3 linked regions of the Oryzias latipes genome follow. The protein of the gene in region 1 interacts with the protein of each later gene in a biochemical or structural test. Links are inferred from orthologs where the notes say so. Each region holds a gene or a part of one and is shown in the gene's direction. Other genes may lie near its edges. The genes, in order: B-cell lymphoma 3 protein, nfkb2 and nfkb1.

Region 1 (10,204 bases):
CAATTATGTCACAGAATATAGATGTTTAGACTAGGGACACACAAAACAATTAGCAGCTGGCAACTACTTAATTAAATTCTACTAATCACATGATGGCTCAGTTGGCTGCATGTAGGACTGGCACCTGGGAGACTAGGGTTCCTTGTTCTGATTCACAATCATTTGAATAAAGAAATACTTAAAAATGCAATTTTGAGCCTCATTTTCCTAATATATTGCCTCCATCATCAGAAAAATGCCACAATAACATGTTAAAAAAACCAAAACATACTTTTCATGCGAGTGGGATTTGTGCCTGGAATGTTTTTTAGAATGCAATAAGTGTTTTGTTTGCTAATTGTGCATTTGTGTCTTTGTTCTCACCATAGAGCCCTCCATATTGCTGTGGTGCAGGGAAACTACGCCATTGTCTGCAAACTTATCCACCTTTTGCTGTGCGCTCGCAGAGGACTTGACATCTACAACAATCTTCGTCAGGTGAAACTACAGCTTTAGAATTTACGCTTTACATACCTGCCACAGACACAAGGAAAGGAAGTGCCCCAAGGGTTATACTGAATTAAAACAATTATTCATGGATTCAACACAATTTCAAATTGAAAACCCCTAATTCTATATTTATTTGCTAAACAAACAAACAAACAAAAAACACACAGAGCCAATAAATAAATACAGATGTATTCATATAGCTTTCTTGTTGTAAGGCGACACGACCACGCAAGCCCGTTTATTCAACCCTCAGATGATAAAAAAATCAGAAAGTGACTTTTTTTAACATAAGGAAACATCTCAGATTTTTTTTTTTTTTTGCCCCAGGAAAAAACGTTTCACCTAAATGGTTAAACACTTGATTTGAATTCTTTAAGGGTATTTAAATGTTTTAAAATAGAAAGATATCTTCCGCTACTGTTCTATAGTTAGCAATCTGTGATTTTGTAGGACATAGTTTCTGCAGAGCGGCAGTAGTTCATAGAAATTCGCCTTTTGAGTTAAGAGCATAACTGTTGGCACGAAGTAAGCTTACCCTCAGTTCCCATCATCCATTTGTTTACCCTCTCTCTCGCTAGCTTACAGCCTCTCACAACCCCAACCTAACATTAGTGGTGCAACAAAAATGGTGACTAATTTCGTAGCAATCCAGTCGTACATTTCTGAGCCAGATGCCAGCTCAGACGAGGAAAACAAATATGTACAAGGATCTTTTTTTTCTGCAAGTGGATGCATCTGAATGGAATGGAGTGGGTAGCTTGAGGCTTAACATAGTAGCTTCTAGGTCACACTTACAAGCTTTTACAATCTAAATTTTCTGGCCTGCTCTTGATTCACAACAACTTGAAAAAAGAAATACGCAGAAATTGCAATTTTAATCTGAATTTTCTTCACAAATGTACTCTGTCACAAGAAAAATCCAACAAGAACATGTCAGAAACACCAAAAACATGCTTTTCATTGAAGTGGGTCTTTAAGTATCTCTAAGACACAAACCCTTCTCTCCTTTCCTATCTAATAATGCTGATATGTTAAAAAAGGTTAAAAAAAGAAAAACATGAAGAGCATTGGTTTCCGTTTTGCAGCTTTCTGTGTTATCTCACACTCTTACAGTCATGACAGTTGAGGTCCATGCACAGGAATTCACCCTTCCTGGTTTCTCCACGTGTGGTTGCCATAACCTCCAACAATGTGCATTTTGGGAAGGACTGTGCGTGCTTTCCCATGTTCTGTTTTTTATATTGTTTATGGTTCTTCTAGCAACCAGTTTCCCTTTAAGTAGGGATTTTTCACACTTAACGTGCAGGGTTTACCAGATTGTGAAATTCAAAATAAGGATGATTGAGGTGCATGGAATGCCTCCTGTTAATGTCTATGCATCTCATAATTGCAGAAGCTCGGGTTGTACAGGTTCCTGCCTTGCATTAGTAGTAGGTGTCAGGAAATAACGTGGAGTTTTGACTATCTGGAGTGGCATAAATTTACAAACAGATTCAAAGCAATGTCACTGGCATAACTAGTCTGTTTGCAGATTTAAAAAAAAATTAAAAGTTTCATTTTCTAAAGTCCCACTAGCTGTCACACACCTAGATGTCTGAAATGTGCTCTCCACATTTGACCCACCCCCTGGGGGAGCGGTGAGCTGCAGACACCATTTGGTGGTTTCACCCCCAACCCAACCCATCAATGCTGAGTGTCAAGCAGGGAGGCATTTCAGATTTAGTAACCTTATATGACCTAAACTGCAGCATACTGGAATGTGCACAAGGATTTCCTTTTAAGTGTTTCCCAATCCAGGGTTGTCCAAAGTCCCTGCCTGATTCCAACACTTCCACATGCTCTCCCCTCTCTTCTCTCAAGCTCATTACCTTCCTTATCTGCTCTCTACCAGCTGCTTTTTAAAATCTATCCACAAAGAAAACACCTGAACAGTGCAGAGTTGTTGTTCTCAAGCCTGGGTTTTTCACACCATGCATGCCACCACAGGCGCGCTTACCAGAAATTATGCAGCCATTTATCACTGGTGGCTCATTTTCCTTATCAGAGAGGTTTGACAACCTGGCTTTTGTTGTAAACTGCCTTAGCCATGCACATGAACGTTTGCACACACACTCCAACCGTCTCTTCACGCACAGATTTTTTTGTCACTTGCAGTTACGAGCAAAGGGAGATTTGCAGACGCGGGTCCCGTCACCATCATTTGCCTACCAGATTGTGTGGTTTTGACTGAATACCAGGAATAAAGAATACACTAATCTAAATAAGGCTGCAGGGAACTTTTTAATTTTCAAAACATAAAGCTTACTAAACAAACCTTGAGGACAATTTCCAGCATTGGCTAACTTCTGATGCACAAAAAACAAAAATTGTTGTATTTTCCAACATTGATGACAGATCCTGTGTTTTTGTGGTTTTTATTGGGTACAACGTTTTGACAGAGTGTTACTATCAGTGTTGTCACTGAGCAGTTCTGCAGGGCTCTGTGTGTGATTTGCCTCTTTGCTCTTTGATACTCCCACTTTGGTCATGGTACCCCTGCAAAGACAATCAATAGTTTCATTTGCTGCTGTTGTGACAGCTGACGGCGTTGCTGGTGGAGGCACTTACAGTACACTGGTGGAGTTTCGTGACTGAATCCCTCAGGGCCACCTACACACAAACTCCCATGTGCAGCGAAATGTAGTCCGCGCTGAGCAAATGTTGCCACACAGAGAGTGTGCCACTGTTCAATAGTTGTGTGTGTGTGTTTTTTTTATGTGATCTCTTTTATTGTCTGTATGAGCTTGTGTGAAGTTGTGTGAACAAAGAAAACGTCTGTGTGTGTGTGTACTTTAGTATCTATGTTCCGAGAAGTCACATGACCCCCCCCCCTCCCCCCTCCCCGCCTGTCTTGCTTCAGGCGGTTTCTCAACATACCTTGCGCTGAGGTTCAGAGGGTAGTTTACAGGGACTTTCCCTTCCAGCGCGTGCTGGTCTGGAAGCCACTCTCTCTCTGATATCTTTTTTTTAATATTTTTTTTTCACATCTCTTACTGTGTTTATCCTTCAACATTTCAGTAACCTACACATGTGAAATGATTAATGCTGGTGTGATGTGTGCAAACAAGTAAGAGCTCATGGTTGATATTTATTTGCACAACAGAACTGGTTTTCAGCCTCCAACGTCTGCTGCAGACTATGAGTTCTTTATGCTGCCTTCCTTCTCTCTTGCAATGTGTCTAGCACTGCCTTCAGCCTGTGGCTGTTTTTTACGTCTTTTCTCTTCCCATCTTTTTTACCCCATTCATGTTGACCGGCTCATTTCTCAGGAATGCAAGTGTGTGAGGACAGACTCAGGGAAAAGTGTAGGGATTTTCCCTCCTCATACTGTCTTTCCCCTGTGCTGCCTCCCGCCCCTTCCGCTTTTTCCTCATTCCACAGTCTCACCAAACCAACTCCCCCCTTCACTCCCTTCCTCTTATCTTTGTTGTCTTTTTTGTCAAGTCATTCTGAAATCCTTTACAGGAAGCACTGGCGTGACTTTGCCGGCCCTGAGGTGTTTGTTTTGAAGGACAAAGGAGGGTTTATCTGGGAAGTGTCCTTGGCTTAAGGGGAAAAGCTGAGGATTTGTTTGGATAAGGCAGTGATGCAGGCGTTGATATGGGTGATATCTAATTATTTTTCCATCAATATATGATGCATGTCAGATTTCCAAGTAAGTTTAGAATTGGCTCCTCTACTTATATAGTGGGGTGTGATGCAGAAGTAAAAAAAAAAAACATTTCTTTTCAAATGTATGGAATTTCCTGCTGATAAGCTTTGACATTATCCATTTCATTTGTCAGACAGGAGAAGCCAAAACCACTGTCTGTTGAGAATTGCAATCCTTAGTTTGGTAACTTTTGCAACTTTTCCAGTCATCTGACAGGGTTATCTAACGTTCACCGCTGGCAACAAACTATGTGGTAGTGTGCTCTGTCACCTGACAGCTTTGGACGTTGGTTCATGTTGGAGCTTAGGCCTTAGTTTTCTTAATGTACTCCTCCTCTTTAATCAGGTGAATTTCAGTCTGCATAGATGTGTGATTTTAAATGTAGTATGTGATGGACTAATGAACTGTCCATAGGTACCCTGCCCGCCTCCCGCTGGTTGATGATTCCGATAAATCTTCAGCTGACCTCCTATAACCCCATAACACTCTTATTTGGATGATTTGTTATAGTGATAGGTGTTTTGTTAGTGAGTCATAAAAAATAAAAATAAAACACGGCAAGTTAATCCTACAAGAACTTCTTGTAAAACTTCCTGCAAAAATCGACTGCGTTCCAGGAAGTTGGATTAGAATAAGAGAACAAGCAAATGCACCAACTTCACCATAAGATTTTATTTTAGGTCTCTTTTTTTAGACAGGTTTTTAACTCTTAATTTGGGGTGGTAAAACTGTTATTTACTTTTTTAAATAAACTAAACAAACCAAGGAGCTCGTCCCACTATGCTTCCTGTTTAATTTTCCAGTAATTCTACATGCACATGCCATGAAACTGCACTCTGAACAAAATATTTACATTTTTATTTATCAAAGAACAAATGCATTTTCATATACATAATATCCAAATGTCATTGGTTATAGTTACCTTTTCTCTGATAGGATGACTATTTCTGTCTCAACCGGCTTGTGTACAGGAGACTTCTGTGTTTTTTGATACAGATGTCAGAGAAGTGCTGCTATGTTTACAGAATGCTGCCAATCTGAGGCCCAAACGTCAGTTTGAATCAAATTGAAACTGAAATATGAACAAAATCCTGACAAAACCATCTTGAAGCACAACATTGGGCCTGATTCTTCAAAGCATCGAATCATCGAATGCTGGATTAGAGTTTGCTGAAACTCTCTTGGGACTCTTTATTTCCCAGAAATAAGATAGTGGTGAGGCCTCTTTTGCATAATGTTATTTAACTCTAAGGACATTTACAGAAGTGAATATCTTGTAATTGTTAAAGCACACAAAAATGCAACTCATAGAGTACCCAGAAGGAAAAACTGAATGAGGAATGCTTGGATTTTGTTCTCTTGGTGCTTAAGGGCCTTTTTCTTTCTCAACTCCCTTTACTGGAACAAACCTTCAACGTGCACACACACACAAACACACTTTGTATTCCAGTTACTAAAATAGCAAAAGTGAAACTTTGAGATGAAGTATGTTCCCGATTGAATCATTTTTATAACTTAAATAGCATCTGAAAAAGCTGTGTCAGGTCACTTCTGCGTTTGAACTGAACTGTATTGCCTGATTCAAATGAGAGGCTTGTTCACATGGCCACTTTTACATGCTGACCTCGTCCAGATAGAACGTTTGCATTCAGAGGGATCCTGCTCGCCATACCTTATTTTAAAGAAACACCTGACGATCTTCTGACTTTGCAGAGATGACAAGTTCCACCTTTTTGAAGTAATTCCACTCCCAGGTTAGAACAGTGGACAATTTTCTTCGTTGTGAAGGCCTCTGAGTATAAACAAGTAAAAGTTTTTCACATCATGGTAAATTTACTGTAAGTCATGTAGGAATGCTAATAGTGACGGTCCTGCCAAACACATTTTCTTGTCTGTTCAGTTGATAAGTTGGATCCTAGCTCCTTTTTAAATGATCTTAGATCTCTAACCCGTTGTTCTGGTTACAGATGAAGGGGCCATTTTCTTTCAGAAAAAAAACTTTACTTACAGGAAAGAATGAAGTGCTGTTGTGTTTTCAAAAGTCTAGACTTCAATTGGGTTTTGTCTGCTCCATTTACTTTGCAAGCTCAAGCCAACTTGCAGTTAAGAAGTCAGAAAAGAAGCAAATGAGATATTGAGCCTCTGTTAGCTTTTAATGCTGCGTAACACCTACAGCAAATCGAATTTGTTGCAAAACAGTGACCGTTGTATTAAAAGCAGTAAACACTTTCCTCAAAAAATATGACATCCAAGGACAAAACTGCAAAAATGATGGCAGGTTCTATGAAAACTAAATTGTAACCAAACAGAAAGATTTTAACAGGATTTGGGGGGATTTCCATTGTCAATCATTTATTTTTTAAAGATAGTCTCTGTTCATTTTTTTATTTGTCACACAAAATAATAAAGTTTGTATACCCTATTGTTGTTTGGGTTTTTTTTGCATTGAGAGAATAATTTCCTATTTGTTTGAGTTCTGGCCCTGAACCCAGATTTTGCTGTTGTCTTTCTGCAGACTCCTCTTCATCTTGCAGTGATAACAAAGCAGGCTACTCTAGTGGACGCTCTGCTGGGAGCAGGCGCTGACCCTTCCGCTTTGGACCGTCACGGCCAAACAGCGCTCCATCTCTGCTGTGAATATGACCAGCGGGACTGTCTGTCTGCACTGCTGTCTCGATCTTCATCCTCCCCGTGCCTGGAGGCTAGAAACTTTGAGGGTAAGTTTTGAGTCTAGTGAAGAAGCTTTATCTGTATGGACCATTTATTTAGTCAAATATCATTCTAAAATGAATCAAAATGACTATAGGGGGTGATTTCTATTCCTGCACTTCTTTCTTTCTGTTTTTCTTTTACTTTACAATGAAACTGTTAGGTTGCCATGGAAATAGTTTTTCAACCAAAGTTCAGGTAGAGGTTAGAGTCTTGAGGTTGTGCGGGATGAAAACATTTCCTTCTTCAGTTATGGTGTCCCGGTTTTGTGACTCTGGCAAATATGCATGCAGAACAGGAGACATCATCTGTGTGAAAGCTCTCAGAATGAGTATTGACAGAAGAATAGTCTACAGGGAATGCAGAATTAGAATCTTTGATGTTCAGTTGCTTTGCTAGAACTCAGGCTTTACTTAATGCTCACAGGTTTAACCCCCCTGCACATGGCTGTTCAGCAAGGCCATCAGGATTTGGCAAAAATGCTGCTGGATGCTGGAGCTGACATCAATGCTATGGTAAGTCCGTGTTGCAGCTTGATTTTACAGTCTATCAAAGTTTTCAATTCTTGATTTTCAGATGTTTTTTTTTCTCCCAATCAGGACATCAAGAGTGGCCAGAGTCCTCTTGTACATGCCGTGGAGAGCAATAATGCTGGCATGGTTCACTTCCTCGTTGAGGTAATGAGATTGTGTGGGCAGGGAGAAAAGAGAAGGGCTGTGACTCAGCTCTGTCTAATAGGGCTGGTTCTCTCTTTGTCCAAACTTCAAAGAAAATTTTCCAAAGTGTCATCTTTTTAAATCCCGCTATGGCCACTATGAACAAAGGTGTTGTCCTTCCTCTAATAAATGCCCAGTTTAGTTTAGTCTGTTTAGTTAAATCAGTTTAGAATTTTCCTATTGAATTCTATGCATTCATGATTCTTATGATTTTATGTTTACTTTACTTTACGAAGCCCATTGAGACGACTGTTGTTGTGATTTTGGGCTATACAAATAAAAGAGAAAATTAATTTAATCCGAATACAATTTGTTGTCTTTTTAAAACCCATCTGCTGCTACTGTGGTTTTCTGCATGAATCACAAATAAATCTGTTTCTTTGTTACAGAATCGATGTGACGTCAACAGACAGTCATACAGCGGGAACACCGCCCTGCATGTGGCCTGTGGCCGAGGTCAGGTAGACATCGTGCGGGTTCTACTTAAAAGCGGAGCTGACAGTAGCCTGAAGAATTACCACAATGATACACCTGTGATGGTGGCCAAGAACAAAAAAGTAAGAACAATAAGAAAATAATGTATGTTGTACTTGATCCATTAATAGATAATTGTGCTCATATTTTCTAAATCCTGTCTCAATCATAAAACAAAATAAAAATATTTATTTGATTTACATGCTCAAACTCCAGAAAAAGAAAGAAAAAAAAATTAAAGCAAGAAGAGGTTTAAAGGTGTGTGTATCTTCCCCTCTAGTGGACAAATGGGGAAGATGCAATATTTACGGTGGCCCTGAAGTACAAATCACATCAACAAATTGGCACTAAAACATTTTAAAGATCACAACCACAATTACAAATAAGAAAAAAAATACCTTTAAGAAATTACAACAAAATTCCAGACACCAAAACACAACCCCCCCCCCCAAAAAAAGAAAAAAAGAAAGAAAAAGAAAATAAAACGGGAACATTTTGGAAAACATAAGTACCGGTAGTTTCCAGAAATCATGAAATGTTTAAAAAACGGAATACGACATGAAACCAGAAAAGGTAGGTACTATAGGACATTGCTGGTTGGAGGATGAGATTTGATTTATGACATTTGAGTTTTTTGAAATGCGTCTTTATTGTCCACATACTGTAAAATGTTTTATAATTAGTCCAGAACATATCCAGTATGACTTCATGCCAAACAACCTTCGACTGAAATGATGGACAAACGTCATCATCCAATCAGCGATGTCCCATAGTACCTACCTTTTCTGGTTTCAGTCAAAACATTTCAGAAAACTAGTGATTTCCAGAGGAATATGTGTTAAAATGTGTTATTTTATACCAGTTAACTGGTATAAAATAAATGTAAGCACATTGTAACAACATGCAACTCAGTGACTGAGAGAAAAGCTGTCTCTGGTTTGTTCCAGAGCTACAGAGAGATTTACATCTCCTCAGGCTAGTGTGGGTTCTTTGGGGGGGTGGGAGCACTTTCTCCACAGTTAATGACACACAAGATAGTTTAGTATGTAGTCTTGGATTTTGTGTCATGTTTTTCCCCCCTATTCTTCTCCCTGCCATAACTTTATTGTTCAAGTTTATTGTTCATGCTGAACTCCACCTTTTTCCTTATCAAAACTGAGTTCAGCCCCTCCCACTGACCCTGCATGAAGAAGCACACACCCTGTAGGCTGGATAAAACAGATGCAAGATCAATGCTGCAAAATTCACCCAAATACCTGGATATCTTATTGTTTACGGTTTGCAAATCTGCAGATAATAGATGTGTTGCGGGGGAGAGGGACCAAGCAGATCAGAGATCAGAACTGCGTGTCAGTATTAACACATGGGAGCACTTTTATGGAAAATGGTGAGATCATAAACAAAGTCATAAACGAGTTTTCATGGACTATAAAATGATTTATTAATTTATATATTTATAGGTTCCCCGTCTTCCAACCAAAGCCTTGGATCTTCACCCTCCACAACGCCCCACGCCCTTCATTCAAACTACTCTCCAAGGACTTCATCTGCACAGTTTTCCTTTTATTAGCTCATTATCAACCAATGGAATTTGCAACTACCTCCAAACAAGCAAGCATCAAAGAGATAACAGATGTCAGGGCTCTGGACATACAGAGTCAAGCTCTGTGAGGTTGAAACTACAATATTCCAGATGGAATCTGACTGAAGTGAAGATCACCACAAAAGACAGTCATCGTCACAGCTCTGTCTGAGCTCCCATGTCTTTAAATGCTGTATTTCAATCCGTGTGGTCTTTATGGAACTGTGGACATGAATGTTTTCTGTGTTTTAGCCACTAGAACATGAAGATTTTGAATTACTGACTTCGGCACTTCTTTTATTATTATAAAAAGAAAAACTTCCTTTACACCGAAATAGTAAAAAATATACAAATAATTTGTCACGTTTTTCTAAATGTTTGGTTTTTGTTGTCAATAAAAATGCAAAACGTATTTGACCTTCAGGTTCAAGGTCAAAGCCGGACTCAACAGAGGAATCACGTGTTTCCTACCAAAGACAGGTTTTTCCAGGGCTTGACACTAAAATTATAATTTAAAAACATGCTCAAGTTGAGCTAAAATGG
Region 2 (10,204 bases), on another chromosome or scaffold:
TCCAGGTCACTGTAGTTTTCCTCTGACCTGCAGCGTTCATCAAACGTACAAGAACTTTGTTTTGAAAGTCTCTGAGATAGCAGAGGAAGCACTGGACTTGTTTTATTGTTATTATTCTTTATTATTTTATTGTTTTATTCTGAAAATGCAACATTTTATTGAACAAAGATCATCAGAAGATCTTTGTGTTGCTGTCATGTAGAGTTCTTCAGATTCACTTGTTTAAGTTTTACATCAGTTTTTAATATAAGGGCGTGAATTGATGATTCTGTAATTATGTAAAGAAGAAAAAGAAGAAGTTGTCTCAGATGTTCGCTCCTCAAAGAAGGGTAGTTCGGCTTCCGAGGAAGCAGAGAAGAAATGAGAGCAGCCAGAATGAGTAGCTGGAAACGTTTCTGCAGCCCGGACAGAGGGATGTGGTGTTGGGGGAGGAAGAATCTGAATGTGGGGGTGCTGCCGTGCCTGAACATCAAAGTGACACTTTCGTGAAAGCAGAAAAAGCCTAGGTGTTCCTTCAAACACCAGGAATGACGTTTTAAGGGAAATACAGATCCTTTCTTGAAGTCATGACACCATCAGATTAATTATTAGATGATCAGACAATCAGACTGTTCTGTTTAAGTGCAGCTTATTGGAACTTTGATGCTGTTGCCATGGCAACCACCTGCCAGGAGCAGGTTTCAGGATGAGAGCTGGTGAGGTAGTTCTGTAGATTCCTTTGACTTCCCCGTTGGGTTTTTGCCCCCTTTTATTATTTTTTTGCACTGTTGGACTTTTATGTAAACAAGGGTGGTGATGCAGCGCTCTGATTGTCTGGCGCAGTCTGAAGGGGGACGTCCCGCCGCTGAGGGGAAAGGTGCTTCAGATGAGGACTGAGTCAAACTGTGATGTGAGGCGGGTTTTTCTCAGAGGGGAAGAGACAGGAAGTCAGACAGAAAAGGCAGAGACGCACGGCGAGCCGAGCAGAGAGGAAGTGAAGTGTCAGAGCGTCGCCGCTGAAGGAACCTGCAGAAGGTCTGTTCGCCGCTTCAGGTCTGTGCTTTGCCTGTGTGACAACTTCACAGAAAATACTCTGATTACAGTCGGTGCATCCTCACAGGAATGTCAGACTTTTACTTTGAAGAACCAGTTTCCTGGAGCCTTCAGTAAGCATAGGTCACCAGAGCGTAACACAGAGAGCTGGACTCGTTGGTGGGTGGAGCCTCCATGTTTCTTTGTTTTTTTTTTCTGTCCCGAAGAAACATGCAGCCTTTCCGGGTCAGAGTGATCCGTCTGCAGACTCAGACCTGCAGCTGACCCGGCTGGAATCCGAGTCCAGAGCGTCATAGGCTCTGAGCCACAAGAGCTTTTCCTTCATTCTGACTGACATCATCGCCCCGCCCCTCTGCTCTCTGCTTGGGATTCTGGGGGTTTTCCTCAGCTCGCCACTTCCAGGAAGTGACTGAAAACAACTGAGGGGAGGGGAGGGGGGGAGTAGCAGTGAGCGAGAGAGAGTTGGAGTTAGCCTTTCTCGCCCATGTTGTGAAAGTGAAAGTGCTGCAGTTTGTTTTTGAGACTCTTGGAGTCTGTGAGGCGTTCAGAGACTGAAGGGATTCTGACAACTGCTGTTTGTGTGTTTGTGCTACAGGATGAGCGAAGCTTCCTTCATCAACTACGACAACGAGGTCAGTCTTCCTCACCTCTCTGACAACTTGCTGACACATTTCTAATCTTTATTTCTGTTTAAAGACCCACTCCAATGAAAATCATTGGTTTTGGTGTTGTTAACATATTCTTGTGGCATTTTTCTCATGATGGAGGACAAATGTTAAGAAAATAAAGATTAAAATGGCATTATTAAGTATTTCTTTATTTAAATGACAAAAAAGGAGCACTGTTGGAAAAAGCTTTTAAATGTGTCGTACAAATTAATACAACAAGCCACAAGCTACCTGCTCTGCTCCATTCTGATGCATCGACCTGTAGACAATTACATCCACCAACGTCTTTGTCTGACATCTGGCTCAGAACTGTACAGTTGGATAGCTCCAAAATTGCTCCAGGGATTGGCCCCAGGGTTGGGGTTGTGAGGGGCTGTAAGCTAGTGGGAGAGCCTAAAAACAGATGGATGACAGGAAGTATCAGGCTTGCTCCGTGCCAACAGTCCTGCTCACAACTCAGACGTGAATTTCTAATGAACTGCCGCTCTGCACAAACTCTGTCCTAGAAAAAGACAGGTTTTTTCTTTTAAATTTGGCTTAAAACGGTATAATCATAATTAAAAAACCACTGGGAACACTAAAAATAGATCAAAAAATGATCGTAGTTGGACTTTATGGAAGCCAGGCTTTCAGTCTGTTTTAAATTAGAACAAATAAATCTGACATTTTCCTTTTGTCATAATGTCATTAAATGAGTCTTGATTTCTCGTTATTCACTGTAATTAGACTATGGAACACCGTCTTGCATGATGAACAAACTGCAGCTATGAGGAAACAGACTTCAGTCAGTGTTTTGAATCTGTGTAATTCTTGGAATTACGCTTCAACCATGAAGTAGTGAAAGTCCCTGCAGCTCCAGAGTCATGTGTGATCATCTGACCTGCTGCTGAAATTAGTCAGAAATGTTCAGACGGAGTGGAGCTCCGTCATCAACTGAGCGATGATGATGATGATGATCTTCTGAAGAGCAGCTGTGGAGCCAGAATACCAGATCTGACCCTTTCAAGAAAATGATTGGATTGCTGTTTTCATTTTTTTTTCTATATTTTAAATCGATTTTGGGGATTTTTCTTAGAGACAAATTCTTTTATTTAAGTGACAAAAAGCAGAAATAAACAAATTTATCTATAAACCAAAGTCAGAGGTCAGGTTTTAACAGAGACACTTTTATCAGAACAATAAAAACATATTCAAGCTGAAATCACAGAGGATCTTCAGGAGGGAGCTTCAAAATCCAGATGATGTTTGTTTTTAAAATCAGGGAGTTGTGTTTGTGCATCCAGAGACAAAAATGACACAAAATCCACAGCTTTGCAATCAATACGTGCGGTGACCTGAACGCCATCACTATCTTATGGTTAGAAAACTGCTTTTTATCAAATGACTCCTCCTGCAGCTCTGGGCAGCTGGCCGGGTCCAGCTGACCCGTTCCTGCTCAGAACCCGGCCGGTGTTCATAATCAGGCTGTGATGCTAACCGTGAGCTTTTCTCTCCTTCAGCTGCAGCTCAACCTGATGCCTTATGACTACATTCCCCCAGTGGACATAAAGACTGAACCCTACATACCTGAGACAGGTGAGTTCTCTGGCGTCTGTGTGACGTCATCGCACAGTTTGCTGCAGAGCCAACTTCTCTCCTGCTGCCCAGAGCACGCTCAGTCAGACCTCTGCCATCTGCCTCCACCTTCCTGCAATGTAGCTGCTGAAGTTGGCGTGAGACCTGCAGCTCATACGTCTGCTGTGTTTGTGTTTCAGTTCACGGTCCGTACATCCAGATCATCGAAGAGCCCAAACAGGTGAGAAATTGGTATTGGTATTTGGGTGAAAAAGTTAGCGTCTGGCGACACCAATAAAGTTAAAGTTAGTTGTCACACACCTAGGTGGGTGAAATCTGTTCTCCACATTTGACCCACCCCCTGGGGGAGCAGGGAGCTGCAGACACAGCAACACTTGGAAAACCATTTGGGGGCTTAACTCCCCAGTCAAACCCGCTAATGCTGAGTGTCAAGCAGGGAGGCACTGGGTACCATTTTTAAATTCTTTGGTATGACTCGACAATGGATTTGACTCCACAACCATCCAGTCTCAGGGCAGACCCTCTACCCCAAGGCCACTGAGTTGGTGCATTTGATTGGTTCTTCTTTTTGCTCACAGGCTTTTATGAATGTGGAAGTTCTTGTAAACATTTGAATGTTTTTAGTATTGGCAGTTGTTTTTTAAAAATAAAAAAGCTCATTTTAAAACGTGGACAGGTATCTTTTGAAGCTTAAAACAGAAGTTGATTGATTTGGTGATCAAACCTGTTTGGACTCTGAGCAGAGCTGCTCTGGATTACATCAGATTACAGAGACGCTCCTGAGAGTCAATCTTCATTTTTGCAGCCGTGCACAGATTCTTCTCATTCAGTCGTCTTCAAAAGTTCTTCGTGAAAACAAGATCTTGATGAGGATGACGAACAGCTGACACAGACGATGGTGGGAATCCCCCCCCCAAGGCCCTCAACGGCCATTTCCTATTATCCAGGGCTTTCCCAGCACTCATTTACCAGCAAAGTCTGGTGTGATCTTCCTCTTCATCATGACAGTCTTTGTTATTAGCTCTGCTGCAAACAGACCCAAACAGGCCGTGACCCCGACGCCATCAGAACCAGAAAACTGACATTCAGAACTGCTGCTTGAATGAATGGCGCCTCCTGATGGACAAAGATGAAAAAACAAAACATGACAGAAAACCCAATCGGAACAGGAATGCATTCATTGGTTTACTTACAGATAAATGTTTGTGTCATCCCAGCCCTTTTTGGAAGTGAATTTTTCCTTGGGCTCGCTGTGGCGTAGTGGTTAGCGATCTCGCCTCACAGTGAGAATGGTTTGAATGCCAGCTGTGTGGAGCGTGTATGTTCTCCCTATGCATGCGTGACTTTTCCCCGGCTTCCACAGTCCACAGTCCAAAAACATGCTTCATGGGTTAATTGGTGACTCTAAGTGTGAGTGTGTGTGGTCCTGAAACAGACTGGTGACTTGTTCAGGGTGTACCCCCCTTCACCCGATAGTAGCTGGGTTGGCTCCAGCAACCCCATGACCCCAAAAGGGATTCAGCGGGTTCTGATGATAGTTTGCAGATAGCTGGAATTTTCCCTCATGACCTTCACCTGTCAGTCAGCAATCTTTGGTTTTAATGGTTCTCTGGTGGATACTTACCTGCTGCTCTCTTTGTGCTTCCAGAGGGGCTTTCGTTTCCGCTATGAGTGTGAGGGTCCGTCACACGGCGGGCTGCCAGGGGCCTCTAGCGAGAAAAACAGAAGGACCTACCCGACAGTGAAGGTGAGTGAACCAAAGCCGCTTCAGCTGCAGACTGCTGCTCCTTGGAGGCTGGAACAAAAACATCCTATGGCCCGTTGTGTCTGTAACCGGCTGTGTGTGTGTCTTAGATTAACAACTATGTGGGTCAGGCCCGGGTGGAGGTGCAGCTCGTCACCCACACCGACCCCCCGCGAGTCCACGCCCACAGCCTGGTGGGGCGCAACTGCACCGAGAGCGGCACCTGTGTGCTGGACGTCGGCCCCAACGACCTCACTGCCTCGTTAGTATCCAATCCCATAGCTGCATCAACACAACACATTTAAATACAACCTAAACCCAAGGGACAGACTAAATAGTTCTGATGGATTTAGCATTATCACCTGTGCAGAGTCAGGCTGATTGATAAAGAATGTGATGTCACTTCCTGTAGGTTCAGTAATTTGGGGATCCTCCATGTGACCAAGAAGGGCGTGGTCGATGTTCTGACCCGAAGACTGAGGGAGGAAAGGAGGAGACAAACCGGAGGACACTGTCACCTGACAGGTACACACACGTTGAGACCTGTGACAACACACACACACACACCCATACAAATAGTCACACACATGCATAAGTACGCACACACACAGTTTGACAAACACAACTGGGCAAATACTCAAACACACACGTGTGGAAGTATTCACATACATGTGCAAACACACGCTCCTGTTTACATACACACCTGTTCAAACACACAAACTCAGATGCAAATACGCAAACCCACTTAGATCTGTGAGCACTGATGATGGAGTGTGTGTGTGCAGATGCTGAAGAGGCCTCCATCCAGAAGGAGGTGAAGGAGCTGAGTAAGAGCATGGACCTGAACATTGTGCGGCTCAAGTTCACTGCCTACCTGCAGGACAGCAACGGAGGCTTCACACGCGCGCTCAAACCTGTGGTGTCCAACCCCATTTATGATAGCAGTGAGTGTGCACGTTACTGCACATGCTTAGCACTGATGCTCACCGCAGCTGGAAGTGACACGTGTTTCACCTACAGAGTCGCCCAATGCCTCCAACCTGAAGATCTCCAGGATGGATAAGACTTGTGGCTCTGTACTCGGAGGAGATGAGATCTTCCTGCTGTGTGATAAAGTGCAGAAAGGTGAGGACCCTCCCCCATCCCGAAGGTCAAACCTGTGATAGATGCGCTGATACGCTGACGTCCCATCGTGTCCTGCAGATGACATTGAGATCCGCTTCTATGAGGAGGACGATGAGGGCGGCTGGGAGGCGTTCGGGGACTTCTCCCCCACCGACGTTCACAAACAGGTTGGTGTTCCTGCTCAGTCACAAACTCCTTCACTGGTTAATGTTTGTGATGAAGAACCTGCTGAATGATTCAGATTAAATCAGAGCTGCTCACCTTCCTTTTTCAACGTGTCTGTCTTCTCAGTATGCCATTGTGTTCAAGACGCCGCCGTATCACAGCACTGAGATCCAGCGGTCTGTCACCGTCTTCCTGCAGCTCCGGAGGAAGAAAGCCGGGGACAGCAGTGACCCCAAACAGTTTACCTACATACCACAAGTCCAAGGTGAGGCGGCGTGCGTGCGTGCGCTCGTGCATGTACCTGTGCAGGTGCTCAGTGGCTTTGCTTCCATCTTCAGGATCGCGCAGCAGAGAAACATGACAGTTCTTCTTTTTTCAGACAAAGAAGAGGTTCTGAGGAAGAAGCAGAAGCCACTGCCTCACTATGAGTCCTGGAGAGGAGGGGGAAGAGGGGGAGGCGCTGGGGGATTTGGGGGAGGAGCCAGTGGAGGAGCTGGAGGTATTTAAAAAAATAATTTTTTTGTCCTTTTGCTGCCTTCCTGTGATGCCATCGAGGCATCTGGGTTGTGGATCAGACTAATTCTCTTGTTCCCCTTGGTAGGATTTCAATTCCACCAGCAGATGAACGGAGGAGGAGGCGGAACTTTTTACTCAGAAGGGTTCACAGGCTTTACTGGAGCAGCTCAGATGTCAGGCTCCGCCCCCCAGCAGAGCGACAGACCAGCAGGCTCACCACTGCAGCAACAGCTGCTACAAATTGGTAACACACCTGGAGGAGGAGGAGCTACACACATCTGCCTCTAGTTTGTTAACTAATTTTTTGTTAACTTTTATTTTTTATTTTTTGCTGGCAGCTGCCACGCTCAACAACCGTGTGTCTCAAAGCGCCCGGCAGACCGCCGCTGCCCTGCTGCAGTACTGCCGCACTGGGGACACTCGCGCTCTTCTCGCCATCCAGACACACCTGTGCAGCGTCCAGGACACCAATGGAGACACGTAAGTGACCCACCCATCGGTGTCACCTAAACTCCGCCTTCACTGCTGGTTCAAGGGGGGGTTTTAAGGTGTGTTGCTGACGCTGCTGTCTGCCCTCCCAGGCCGCTGCACCTGTCCATCATCCACCTGCAGACAGGTGTGACACAGCAGCTCATCCACACTCTGCTCAGCAGCCGGCAGCAGCGGATCCTGAACACCACCAATCACCTCCAGCAGGTAATCACCTCTCACGTTTTAGCCACGCCCACCTCCCACCTGCCTGCTGACTCATCCCTCTCTGCTCGCTCTAGACTCCCCTTCACCTGGCGGTGATCACCCGTCAACCAAAGGTGGTGGAGGCGCTGCTGAGGGCGGGGGCTGACCCCACCCTTCCAGACAAAGACGGTCGGAGCCCTCTCCACCTGGCAGCACTGGCAGGCGACAGCTCATTGCTCCGCCTCCTGCTGTCTCACATGGGAGAACGCCACAGCCACCTGGTGAACACGCCTGACTACCATGGTGAAGGAGGCGCCGTATGCTCTTCAGTCGTGGCGCCGACACTTTGTTTCAGAGCTGTCTGTCTGCAGGTCTTCAGCCGCTGCACCTCGCTGTGAGGAGGGACGGCGAGCGCTGCCTGCGTCTGCTGATTGAGGGCGGAGCTAAAATTAATGCCCCAGAGCAGAAGAGTGGGAACACGGCACTCCACCTGGCTGTGAGAGAAAACCTGTTCAAGGTTGCCTGCACGCTTATCACAGAGGTAACACAGCCACCAGGGAGGGGTCTCCTATATATACAGCAACTTATGGCTCCGCCCCTAACATGACACCTTGCATCCTCAGCTAAAGGCGGACACCAATGCCTGCACGTTTGGAGGAAACACGCCGCTGCACCTGGCCGCCAGCCTGGGCTCCCCCACGCTCTGCTCTATGCTGATCGCAGCAGGTGAGTCGTGCCGCCAATCGCAGGCCCCCCTGCTCTGCCCACATGCTCACCTGTCTGGTGCTCCTCAGGCGCAGACAAGAACATCCAGAACGACGAGCCACTCTCCTGCAGCTCCTCGTCAGATGAAGAAGTGGACGAGAGCGAACTAACCAGGGAGGAGCTCGCGGAACGAGCCGCTTCTCAGCCAATCAACACTCGCAAGAGACGGGCAGGACACACCCCTCTGGACCTCGCCACTTGCCACAAGGTGACACATCCTCAGGAGCGCCTCTGAGGAGCCGAGCCGGGTCCAGTTTCTAATGTTTGCCCTAACTTCTGGGTCCAGGTGAGGAACCTGCTGCAAAGCGGCCAGAGTCCCACAGCAAGTCGCCACAGCAACAAGAAGATCAAAGCCAACAGCGGTGAAGGTAGGTGCTCACATGCATGCTAACAACATTCACACCCATGCATGTTCACTCTAACACGCTGCCGGGCTGCAGGCGCCGAGGGGTCGGGGCTGAACGAGGACACGCTGGCCCAGCTGGTGGAGGTGCTGAGCGTCAGCGACATTCCCTGGATAAAGCTGGCGGAGAAGCTGGGCATGATGACCCTGACTCACCTGTACCAGGATAGCCCCACCCCCTGCCACCACCTGCTGCAGCACTACAAGGTAACATGCTCACACACATGTGCATGAGCTCACAGGTTTTCAAATACCGACAAGTCCAGAAACGCTCCTCTTCTGCTCATCAAAGAATAGTCATTAGAAAGTCGGTGCAGACGACCTGTGTCTCGATCTGTGTTCACAGTGGAGGTTCAGTAAAGATCCACTCAAAAGAAAATAGTATTTTGGAAGTTTTTAGCATGTTCTTGTAACATTTTTCTGATGCAGGACATGTATAAAAATAGCTGAAAACTTTCTGAGTTTTTATAATTGTTGTGAATCAGGAGCAGAGAAAAAAATGTCGTTTTGAAAAGCCTGTAGTGACGTAGGTGGTGCAGTGGGCGGGTCACTTGCTCCATTCTGATGCATCCACCTGTAGGACACTAGATCCATGTCCATTTTTGTTTTCCTTGTCTGAGTTGGAGTCTGACTCAAACCTGTACACCTGGATAGCTCCAATATTGCTCACCGTTTTTGTTGCACTGCTAATGTTAGCTTGGAGTTGGGAGGGGCTGGAAAGCTAGCAGGAGAGAGTGCAAACAAATGGATCATGGGAAATGAGGTAAGGTTTACTCCGCGCCAACAACTCGGAGGCGAACGCAAGAGTTTTGAACATGTAAGCCCAAACGCATATTAACACTTGTTTACGTAGACCTTTCATTGGAAACTGCCGCTTGAACACACGTTGCCAAGGGGGGTGTGAACGTAGCTTTGGAGTCTGCAGCTCTCCAAAGGTCCAGGATGCTCCTTCATTGCTGCTGAGTTTATCCATCCTGATGCTGCATTTAGAGAAGATCCAGGCTGGACTGGTCAGACTGTTCAACCTACTTCTGGTTCTGCTCCCCCACAAATGGGGCCATCTTGGTTCAGATTGTTCTTTAAGGATCACGTTCCTTAAGAATCTCTGAAGATTTCTGAGATTCCCTTTCACACATCCCCTCACTGTCGGCTCTTGTCTGCGTTTGTGTCTCCAGCTGGGTGGGGGCGCCGTGGACGATTTGGTAAAAGCTCTTCAGTCTCTCGGTCTGACAGAAGGAATCCGCCTGCTGAGGAACGCAGAGCTGCAGGAGGATAAGCACAGCACAGGTGAGCTCCAGACAGTTGTTTGTCAAACTCCGCCCCCACCAAATGGAAGAAACCCACGTTGAACAAATCAGGTCCAAAGAGCAACTGTTTGCCTTAAAGCTGGATCTGCTATTTCCGGTCTGGTATTTTTCTGACAGAAGTTCCTGCGGTCTCCAAAGGCTTGTTGAGTTTGTTCTTCACAGATCTCATCTTCTCTCATCTTTGTGTTCCATCAGACGCCACTGTTGACAGCGGCTTCAGCAGCCAGCC
Region 3 (10,204 bases), on another chromosome or scaffold:
CACCGGGACGAATTTCGCCGGCGATTTTCGCCGACGTTTAACGCCTCGTGACTAAACAAAGGGCACCAATGTGAGTGTGCACACCGACGCGAAAAAACGCCAAGCGCCAAAGCGTCAAAAAAAAAAAACGCCTCGGGTTCGTTTTTTTTTTCCGACGCGTCTCGTCGAAATCTATTCGACCAATGAGAATGGCGCTTTTGCTCACGTGTCTGGAGCTTCTGAAGTTACAGTAAAACACAACTTGGGGGCGCTCAAACACAAAACTGCCTTGCTGAGCACACATACCAGCGAAGAAGTTAGACGCCAAGTAGCGTCAACACTGCCGCAAAGAAATAATGACGGACATTCTAAAATATCCCCTTACCAAGCACCAGTTGGAGCTACTGGTGCTTGAAATATTCATGTTTTCTTTGTATTATTCTGACTAGCGCGTAAATACTTGCTCTCTTTTTCAGAGTGAAAAGCGACTTTAAGAATCGTAAAGTTGCGCAGCGCCACCTTGTGTACAGGAGTATTTCTGTTTTACATTAAGCGCCATCTAACGTCAGGGAATGAAATTGCATGTTCGCTCGGCTCATCGTCAGCGAAAATCGCCTGGGTGTGAACACAAAAAACGTGGCGAAAAACGCTGGCGAATAACGCCTGGCGAATATTCGTCCCGGTGTGTACGGGCCTTTAGTCTGTAGAAACTCCTGCACCTCCTCATTCCACCACCAACTCTCCTGTCATCCTTCCGTCCTGATGACCAAGTACACTCCTACCTGCCTCATCTGGGAGTTTCTCCTGACCACCCAGAGCCTACATTACCTTTTCGTACAAATATCCTTCAGGGTTGAATCTGTTTCAGGAAAAGGTATTTTGCTTTACAGGCTTGTCTGGACATCATTTAAGCTGAAGATGTTTTCTCCTTTGAAACCTTCTTTGCTGTGGATCCATCCAGAATGAAGGAGAGTCCGCACAGATATTTAGTTTGTTCTTCCCCTCAGTAATCCTTACATTTTAAAAATATTCCCGGCTCACTGAAGATAAAAAATAAACCATTTAAGAACCTGAAATTAACACCATAGCTTAAATTCTATCCCGTCTATAAATATGGTTGGTGTGTTTTTAAAAAGGAAATCCTGATCTGTCTCTAACATTACATTCTTCCTCTTTCTGGATCCTGTTGATGGTTTCGGTTTGTCTTGTTGTTCTGGTTCTGTTTGTGGATCCTCCGCGCGTCTCTTTGGTTTGTGTCGCAGAAAAGTTTTTGGGGACATTTTCGCTTTTGCGCTCAGAGTGACACCTCCTCGTTTTACCGCGCTCTCTGTTTCCTTTTACGTCACGGGGAATTTCCAAGAGGAAGGAAGTTGCTTTATTCTCACTTTAGCGCGCGCCCTGTCACCTGCGCTCGCGCTCTCCAATACGTCACTCTCTCGCGCACATTTGTTTCTTCGTTTTAGCTGTTAGAAGCTGCAGGCACGCGCTCGTGTCGTGTGATGACGCATAGCCGTTAAAAAAGGCAGAAATTCGCTCCGACAGAATAATAAACAAAAAAAACAAAAAAATGAGCGAGAGCCCCTGAGGTGAAGCGGCACGAGAACCCTCACCTGCGGACGTTCACCTGAGCTGAACAGGTAAGAACCGGGTCAGAACAGACCACGCCACTTCCTTTCACTTCCTTGTTCTTCGGACATTCGTTTTCGCGCGCGGACTTTACCACAACAAAGAGGCAAAAAGTAGAAATACACTCATTTTATTCCAAGTTTATTGTGTTAATAAGGTGACGGTCGCGTGCTCGCGGCAGTACGGCAACAAAGACAAACCATAAAGAATCTGACCGGAAAACGTTCGGAAACGAGGGAACGTCGGCTCATGGCGGTTTAAGTTTAACACGTGGCGGAATCTCTGACTGTTTGGACCGGACCGTGAACGCAGCAGTCAGACTGGAAGAGCCCACGCACGGGCTCACCGTGGGACCGACAGCAAATGTGTAAATGTGTTCTAAAAGAACGTAAACAACGAGCCTCGCGGCGTTCAGGAGGCTGAGCGAGTTCCCGCGCAGCAGGCACGCGCACAATCAGATGTTCCTACCCAAATTCCGAAGTTGAAAAAAACGCTTTAATAATTGGCACGAAGGATGGGAACATTTTTGTTTTCATAAAAAAGTCCTGGACTATCCCCGCCCCCACCCATACTGTTTACAAATAGGCAGCTGGTTTGTTTATCTGCTGCTCTGTGTTGTTGTTGTTGTTGTTGTTGTTGTTGTTGCTTCGGTTTGAACTGCCAGACAGAACTTTGAGGGTTCTGTGTTATGGGAAGGTTGATTCAAACCTGTCGATGGTGACGGTTTCTGCCTCTTCAGTTTGGAGGAGGTTCTACTGTCATCATCATCACTTTCACAGATGTTCCTGCAATTAAAGAACAAACTGTTAGAACCTCGCTTAAGTTCTTGTCTCAGCAGCTTCTGGAATCACCAATGAGAACACGATGCAAAAGGTCATGAGACCTCCACATTGGCAGGTGAAGCATCTTCTTAACTTGTGGGTGTAGTCTCTGCAGGTAGGTGTAGTAGGGCGTCTGCGTGGATGTAATTGCTTCAGTAGGGCGTCTGCGTGGATGTAATTGCTTCAGTAAGGAGTCTGCATGGGTGTAGTCACGGCAGGAAGCCGTCTGCGTGGATGTAAGTGCTTCAGTTGGACGTCTGCGTGTAGTCACTGCAGGAAAGCGTCTGCATGGGTGTAGTACCACGGCTGTGTGGGTGTTATTGCTTCAGTTGGACCTCTGCGTGGGTGTAGTTGCATCAGTAAGGAGTCTGCGTGGGTGTAGTCACTGCAGGAAGGCGTCTGCTTGGTGTAGTACAGCGTCTGCCTGGATGTTATTGCTTTAGTAGGGCGTCTGCGTGGATGTAATTGCTTCAGTAAGGAGTCTGCATGGGTGTAGTCACGGCAGGAAGCCGTCTGCGTGGATGTAAGTGCTTCAGTTGGACGTCTGCGTGTAGTCACTGCAGGAAAGCGTCTGCATGGGTGTAGTACCACGGCTGTGTGGGTGTTATTGCTTCAGTTGGACCTCTGCGTGGGTGTAGTTGCATCAGTAAGGAGTCTGCGTGGGTGTAGTCGCATCAGTAAGGAGTCTGCGTGGGTGTAGTCGCATCAGTAAGGAGTCTGCGTGGGTGTAGTCGCATCAGTAAGGAGTATGCGTGGGTGTAGTCGCATCAGTAAGGAGTCTGCGTGGGTGTAGTCACATCAGTAAGGAGTCTGCGTGGGTGTAGTCACATCAGTAAGGAGTTCGCGTGGGTGTAGTACAGCGTCTGCGTGGATGTTATTGCTTTAGTAGGGAGTCTGCATGGGTGTAGTCACTGCAGGAAGGCGTCTGCGTGGTGTAGTACAGCGTCTGCGTGGATATTATTGCTTTAGTAGGGAGTCTGCGTGGGTGTGGTCACGGCAGGAAGTCGTATGCGTGGATGCAATTGCTTCAGTTGGACGTCTGCATGGGTGTAGTACCGCGTCTGCGTGGGTGTAGTCGCATCAGTAAGGAGTCCGCGTGGGTGTCGTCACTGCAGGAAGGCGTCTGCGTGGTGTAGTACAGCATCTGCGTGAATGTTATTGCTTTAGTGGGGAGTCTGCGTGGGTGTAGTCACGGCAGGAAGCCGTATGCGTGGATGTAATTGCTTCAGTTGGACGTGTGCGTGGGTGAAGTCGCATCAGTAAGGTGTCTGTGTGGGTGTAGTCACTGAAGGAAGGCGTTTGCATGGGTGTAGTCACTGCAGGAAGGCGTTTGCATGGGTGTAGTCACTGAAGGAAGGCGTCTGCATGGGTGTAGTACCGCGTCTGCGTGGGTGTAGTCGCATCAGTAAGGAGTCCGCGTCGGTTTAGTCACTGCAGGAAGGCGTCTGTGTGGTGTAGTACAGCGTCTGCGTGGATGTAATTGCTTCAGTTGGACGTCTGCGTGGGTGAAGTCGCATCAGTAAGGAGTCCGCGTAGGTGTAGTCACTGCAGGAAGGCGTCTGTGTGGTGTAGTACAGCGTCTGCGTGGATGTAATTGCTTCAGTTGGACCTCTGCGTGGGTGTAGTCGCATCAGTAAGGAGTTCGCCTGGGTGTAGTCACTGAAGGAAGGCGTCTGCATGGGTGTAGTACCGCGTCTGCGTGGGTGTAGTCGCATCAGTAAGGAGTCCGCGTCGGTGTAGTCACTGAAGGAAGGCGTTTGCATGGGTGTAGTCACTGCAGGAAGGCGTTTGCATGGGTGTAGTCACTGCAGGAAGGCGTTTGCATGGGTGTAGTCACTGAAGGAAGGCGTCTGCATGGGTGTAGTACCGCGTCTGCGTGGGTGTAGTCGCATCAGTAAGGAGTCCGCGTCGGTTTAGTCACTGCAGGAAGGCGTCTGTGTGGTGTAGTACAGCGTCTGCGTGGATGTAATTGCTTCAGTTGGACCTCTGCGTGGGTGTAGTCGCATCAGTAAGGAGTTCGCCTGGGTGTAGTCACTGAAGGAAGGCGTCTGCATGGGTGTAGTACCGCGTCTGCGTGGGTGTAGTCGCATCAGTAAGGAGTCCGCGTCGGTGTAGTCACTGAAGGAAGGCGTTTGCATGGGTGTAGTCACTGCAGGAAGGCGTTTGCATGGGTGTAGTACCGCATCTGCGTGGATGTAATTGCTTCAGTTGGACCTCTGCGTGGGTGTAGTCGCATCAGTAAGGAGTCCGCGTAGGTGTAGTCACTGCAGGAAGGCGTCTGTGTGGTGTAGTACAGCGTCTGCGTGGATGTAATTGCTTCAGTTGGACGTCTGCGTGGGTGAAGTCGCATCAGTAAGGAGTCCGTGTGGGTGTAGTCACTGCAGGAAGGCGTTTGCATGGGTGTAGTACCGCGTCTGCGTGGATGTAATTGCTTCAGTTGGACCTCTGCGTGGGTGTAGTCGCATCAGTAAGGAGTCCGCGTAGGTGTAGTCACTGCAGGAAGGCGTCTGTGTGGTGTAGTACAGCGTCTGCGTGGATGTAATTGCTTCAGTTGGACCTCTGCGTGGGTGTAGTCGCATCAGTAAGGAGTTCGCCTGGGTGTAGTCACTGAAGGAAGGCGTCTGCATGGGTGTAGTACCGCGTCTGCGTGGGTGTAGTCGCATCAGTAAGGAGTCCGCGTAGGTGTAGTCACTGCAGGAAGGCGTCTGTGTGGTGTAGTACAGCGTCTGCGTGGATGTAATTGCTTCAGTTGGACCTCTGCGTGGGTGTAGTCGCATCAGTAAGGAGTTCGCCTGGGTGTAGTCACTGAAGGAAGGCGTCTGCATGGGTGTAGTACCGCGTCTGCGTGGGTGTAGTCGCATCAGTAAGGAGTCCGCGTCGGTGTAGTCACTGCAGGAAGGCGTCTGCGTGGTGTAGTACAGCGTCTGCGTGGATGTTATTGCTTTGGTAGGGAGTCTGCGTGGGTGTAGTCACGGCAGGAAGCCATCTGCGTGGGTGTAGTCGCATCAGTAAGGAGTCTGCGTGGGTGTAGTCACTGCAGGAAGGCGTCTGCATGGGTGTAGTACCACGGCTGCGTGGGTGTTATTGCTTTAGTAGGGCGTCTGCATAGGTTTACTCACTGCAGGAAGCCGTATGCGTGGGCTCAGTTGGACGTCTGTGTGGGTGTAGTAGGGGGTCTGTGTACTGACACCGCCCACATGGTCAATGGACAAGAAGCTTCAGATTCAGCAGATGATGATGGTTTAACCTTTGATCTCTGCAGACGCCATGGCTGGAGACGACCACTACCTCCGTGCTTCTAACCAGGTACGTTCTTCCTGCTCTGCAGGGGGTGGAGCCTGCAGAACAATGACCCAGATGTTTGTGAAAACCTCATTTTTGGACAGATGTTCATGATGTTTTCGTAGTTGAGCTGATCTGCTCTGTGAAGATCATGGTCCACATGGGTGGGTTGGCGGTTTGGTTCCCTGGTCCCACATGAAAAAGTTGGTGAACCCCTCATAACCTCCGTTGGGCGTGTTTCTTCCAGCTGAACCTTCTACCATCCTGTCCCGTCTGAAGAGGTTCCACCAGTCTTTTGGTTCCAGTTTTCTGAATGTCAGGTGTTCTGCAGGTTCTGGGGGGTTCACCAGCCTACCTGCAGCACGAGGACCAGGATGTTCTGATGAGCGTGGTTTTCGGATCGTTCTATGTTCATGATGAAGAGCAGTTCCAGGACCTCCAGGTTCCTCAGCAGAGTCCAGGTTTTCAGAGTGATCTGCTGCAAACACCAAGCAGCACAGATGGAACCGGTCTCATTGCAGAGGTGGAGTCCAGAACTTCCTCAGAACATCCTGACACCAGAACTCTGTGTGTGTCCAGCAGATTTATGGAAACTTAATCATGGATCCGTCCTGGGAGTTTACTCATTTCCCTGCGATGCCTCAGTCCACGTCTCTGCAAACAGGTGAGTCCTCGTCACAGACCGGTCGGGTGTGTCTGACCTTCAGAGCCTCCTCATCCTCGCGCCCCCGAGCAAAGGCAGGAGCCACGGGAAAACGCCAGCGTCGTTGGTGACCCCGTCTTTATTTCTGCTCCCTGAAGGTTTCTCTAAACCTGAACACGACAAACCAGATCAAACGCAGAACCGAGCTGCAGTCGCTGCTTTGTTCCGGATCGGGTTCTGAACCTCTGGTTTGGTCTGGATCCAGACTGAACATCTGTTCTGGATTGTCGGGGGTAACAGACTCTGGTTCACTTTCAGCGAACTCAATGAGTCCAGTCTAAAGAACAAACATCCAGTCAGGTTCACTGGCTGTGTAACAGTGGGCAACCCAACACACTCAGAGTCCAGGAAGGTCATTCAGGGAGTTGTTGAAGGGGGGGGGGGGGGCTGACATTCGAGTGTCTTTTTTTGTTTTTTACACATCACTGTCCTGGTTCTGACATCTCATTATACACTCTGTATGTCTGTTCAAATGTAAAATGTTCAATAAACAAAGTTATATAGATAAAACAAGAAAGGTCATTCAAGGTTAGAGCCTCGCCAAATTCACCGTCCCAGGATTTCCCATAGTAAATCTGCAAATACGCAGCAGCTGGAAGAGAAAAAATCCAATAAAACAATAAAAATATGTAAATAAAGCAAATATGTTAAATAGTTTGTACTGAAAAAACAGATTTTCTCCACAGCAGCTGCTAAAACTGAAAATGGTTCCCTTTGAAGCTGGATTTACCGCCTCAGCGATTTCTGCTTTTCTGGGACGGTTTTCACACGTGTGTGCATGTTCGTTGGAAGTTCTGCTTTCCTGCTGCAGCCTCTGCCGGTTCTCAACCTAAAGTTCTGGAAGTTGAGAATAAAGACGTAAAAGCGGTTTTAGATGAACCAGAGCAGAAACCGGACTGGTCTTTGGAAACTTTGACAGTTTGACCGACGCCTGTCTGGACCGGCTCTGATGGAATCGGCTTTTTTGGCGCTTTTCTCATAATGGAGGACATGTTTTTCTGAGGATTTCTTCATTCAAATCGTTTTGAATCAGATAAAAAAATACGGTTTAAAAAAATAGTCTTTGTGACGAAACATACGCTGGGCGGGACCACGGTCTCCAAGCTCCGCCCCTTTCTGATCATCCACGTGCAGACCAACAGATCCATGAAGGTCTTTGTTTTCCTGGACTGAGCTGAAATCTGGATCAGAACCAGACGGATGGACGGACCTGATGCTGCTCTGCGTTTTTGTTGTAATGCTAATGTTAGGTTGGGGGTGTGAGGGGCTGTAAGCTGGCAGAGGAGCGCGTAAACGTATGGATGATGGGAAGTGGGGGTGGGTTTGTGGTGAGCCTTGACGCCGCCACCGTTGAATTCCTTTCTCCCGCAGAAAAGTCGCCACTCGTTGGTCCCCGGAGCGGATGTCCCGGCCATTGGGCCCCCCGTCTCTGTTGGCGGTCACAGCCGGCGCGCATGTTGTGGTTTGGCGCTCACGCCGGTGATTACGGCGTCCTTCATCCGCCTTACTGGATGGACATGTCCTTTGTCTCCTGTCCAGTCTCTTCTTCATGGTTCACTCTGTGGCTCTTCTTGGTTTTGTTCCGCTGAAACCTGAAAACTCCAATATTTAGTCAAACTAACAGATACGTGTTGCCATAGAAACGTCATGATTTGGGTTAAGCTTGGTTGTCTTCAGCCATGATCACTATTCTTCATGATTATGCGACTTTTCCAATGGAGTAACACGCATTGACCCGGTGACGGTGTGCGGCCGTGGTTCCTGCTGTGGCCCCGCCTCCTGCAGCAGCAGGTCATCTGAAGGGTCTGTCTCCATTAGGGTTGTGCCGATGGACGATATCATCGTCCATCGTGATGGGTGACTGACATCCCGATGGAGAGACCACCATCGTGATGCCACGCCCCCGCCACGTTGCGCGTCGACATCATAAGCCGCGGTTACATGTACAAAATATCTTGATGGGGTCAATGGTCGGATTAGAATCCATCCGTGTACATGGGCCCAGAAAAATGTTTTCAGAATATAAAAACGTTCACTAAGGTCACAATTTCGGTCGGAATAAATCATTCGCACACGCGCAGTTTGAAAACCGGAAGAGGATATAACTTCCGCCGAGCGGCTTTTTTTCCAAACTTTATTGAATGTAACAATTCAATACAAAACAATGTTAAACAGCGCCGAGCGGCTATATACATTGACATGTCAGCTCGGTAAAATACGAGACGATCTTCTAAACGTGCTTTTAATAATGTTACGGTTATTATGAAACACCTGTTCGCTCATCATTTGAATTTTAATCCGTGTGGTCAGTGCTTTTTCTGAACGGAGCCAGGATTAGCAGTATGCTAACACGGGCTAACAACATTAGCTTTGGGTGGCGCTGCATCCTGTGAATAACATCAGCCTTTATTTAGTCGGGACACGACTGGAAACACAAATCCACGTGATTGATTGAATGTTTTCTAAGGACTGAGCGACATTTCTGCTTTGAAGCTCAAACCGCTGTGTGCTGACGATCCGAACTGTGCTCAGACACACGTTTAGACCCGGTTCTGAGTTTGATAGCTTGTACCCCTAGAGCTGCGGGACGGATCGCAGTCTTAAATCTCCCACACATACCGCTCATGTACCCCCCCCCCCCCCTTCCCATCAAACATAAAGCTGTAAATCCGCCCTCCGCCGGTCCACTTCGCTAGTTAAGTGCGGGAGCGGACTACTTCTTTTCTATTTTGCTTGTTACTTTTTCTGTTAAAGTCACTTCCCTCAGTTTATACTGGATCATCGCGGATTAACCATTAGTTGGGAAATAAAATGAAAAAAGCAAAATAATGAATAGCAGTTATATAAGAACGAAAAATTTAAAAAATACCCCCCCCCCCCCCCCCCCCGACGATGTCATCGTCCATGCCGATGGTTGACAGCAAACATCGTCAACGGCCAAATTAGGGGACATCGCCCAACCCTAGTCTCCATTACTCCGTGATCGCAGTGACTCAGCCCCTCCCACACACAGCTACATAAGAGGGGTCACTCCACATAAGCTCTGTTATTTGTTTGGAGGTTTTGTCGTTTCCCTTCATTTTATTGTTCTTCACCTTCACATTTGGGCCGTTCTTGTCTTTGTTTTGACCATCTGATGATGTCAGATGCTGCATGTGAGCCGCTGGGCCAATCAAATCCCAGAAATCAGGAGCAAGCAGCCAATAAGGAAAGAGAAACTGAACAGTCGGAAAGAAATCAGGTTTCCTGCAGTTTCATCTTTCATTGAGTGTGAATGATTGACAGGTGGAGACGCTGGCTTCAGTGTGACAGCGTCATCTTCATCTGGGAGGGGCTTCTTCCTCCTCAGTCGGTTTGTGGTTAGGAAACCACTCCAACTTATTTGACAGGGAAATGATGCCAACAGGAAAACGTGTGAAGCACCAGGAACGGGTTTGACTTGGTGCCGGCTAAACAAACCAAACTCCTGCCCCGGTTCTGCAGACCTTTCTGGATCTCATACTTTCAGAGCACCCCCCCAGACCAGAAGGGAGAAGAATACTCCCCCCCCCCCTAACAGGGCTCCAGACTAACCTTTTTCACTAGGAGCACAGTGGCCCCCTACTGAAAATTTTAGGGGCACAACCAGAAAATTTAGGGGCGCATGGCGTAAATCAACATGCTAACCAAATCTACTAATTTCCACCGTATTACTAATAAATACTTTAATAATAGATGCAGAAATTACAATGAGCTGTTTCTAATTCAGTGTCACATTTTATTCTGCACTTTTGAAGATGCAACAAGAAGGTAA

Evidence for each region.
Region 2: the proteins of B-cell lymphoma 3 protein (region 1) and nfkb2 form a complex in vitro, tested with the Homo sapiens proteins (2 studies listed by BioGRID). The link is inferred for Oryzias latipes from reciprocal best matches to the Homo sapiens genes BCL3 and NFKB2.
Region 3: the proteins of B-cell lymphoma 3 protein (region 1) and nfkb1 form a complex in vitro, tested with the Homo sapiens proteins (2 studies listed by BioGRID). The link is inferred for Oryzias latipes from reciprocal best matches to the Homo sapiens genes BCL3 and NFKB1.

The regions. Positions count from the first base shown.
Region 1 is NC_019874.2:21,828,334-21,838,537, forward strand, and holds part of B-cell lymphoma 3 protein, read left to right. Parts: intron 1-368; coding exon 369-477; intron 478-6,695; coding exon 6,696-6,897; intron 6,898-7,315; coding exon 7,316-7,404; intron 7,405-7,488; coding exon 7,489-7,566; intron 7,567-7,994; coding exon 7,995-8,162; intron 8,163-9,372; coding exon 9,373-9,466; intron 9,467-9,539; coding exon 9,540-9,649; 3' UTR 9,650-10,204. UniProt on the Homo sapiens protein: Contributes to the regulation of transcriptional activation of NF-kappa-B target genes. In the cytoplasm, inhibits the nuclear translocation of the NF-kappa-B p50 subunit.
Region 2 is NC_019873.2:12,630,710-12,640,913, reverse strand, and holds the start of nfkb2 (nuclear factor NF-kappa-B p100 subunit), read left to right. Parts: upstream 1-850; 5' UTR 851-865; coding exon 866-1,032; intron 1,033-1,627; coding exon 1,628-1,664; intron 1,665-3,199; coding exon 3,200-3,275; intron 3,276-3,454; coding exon 3,455-3,495; intron 3,496-4,923; coding exon 4,924-5,022; intron 5,023-5,129; coding exon 5,130-5,281; intron 5,282-5,431; coding exon 5,432-5,544; intron 5,545-5,804; coding exon 5,805-5,963; intron 5,964-6,039; coding exon 6,040-6,144; intron 6,145-6,222; coding exon 6,223-6,311; intron 6,312-6,435; coding exon 6,436-6,574; intron 6,575-6,688; coding exon 6,689-6,808; intron 6,809-6,910; coding exon 6,911-7,069; intron 7,070-7,163; coding exon 7,164-7,305; intron 7,306-7,406; coding exon 7,407-7,521; intron 7,522-7,595; coding exon 7,596-7,803; intron 7,804-7,871; coding exon 7,872-8,041; intron 8,042-8,123; coding exon 8,124-8,226; intron 8,227-8,294; coding exon 8,295-8,473; intron 8,474-8,551; and 7 more. UniProt on the Homo sapiens protein: NF-kappa-B is a pleiotropic transcription factor present in almost all cell types and is the endpoint of a series of signal transduction events that are initiated by a vast array of stimuli related to many biological processes such as inflammation, immunity, differentiation, cell growth, tumorigenesis and apoptosis.
Region 3 is NC_019868.2:30,825,293-30,835,496, forward strand, and holds the start of nfkb1 (nuclear factor NF-kappa-B p105 subunit), read left to right. Parts: upstream 1-1,361; 5' UTR 1,362-1,616; intron 1,617-2,522; exon of another isoform or gene 2,523-2,541; intron 2,542-5,688; 5' UTR 5,689-5,693; coding exon 5,694-5,732; intron 5,733-6,287; coding exon 6,288-6,372; intron 6,373-10,204.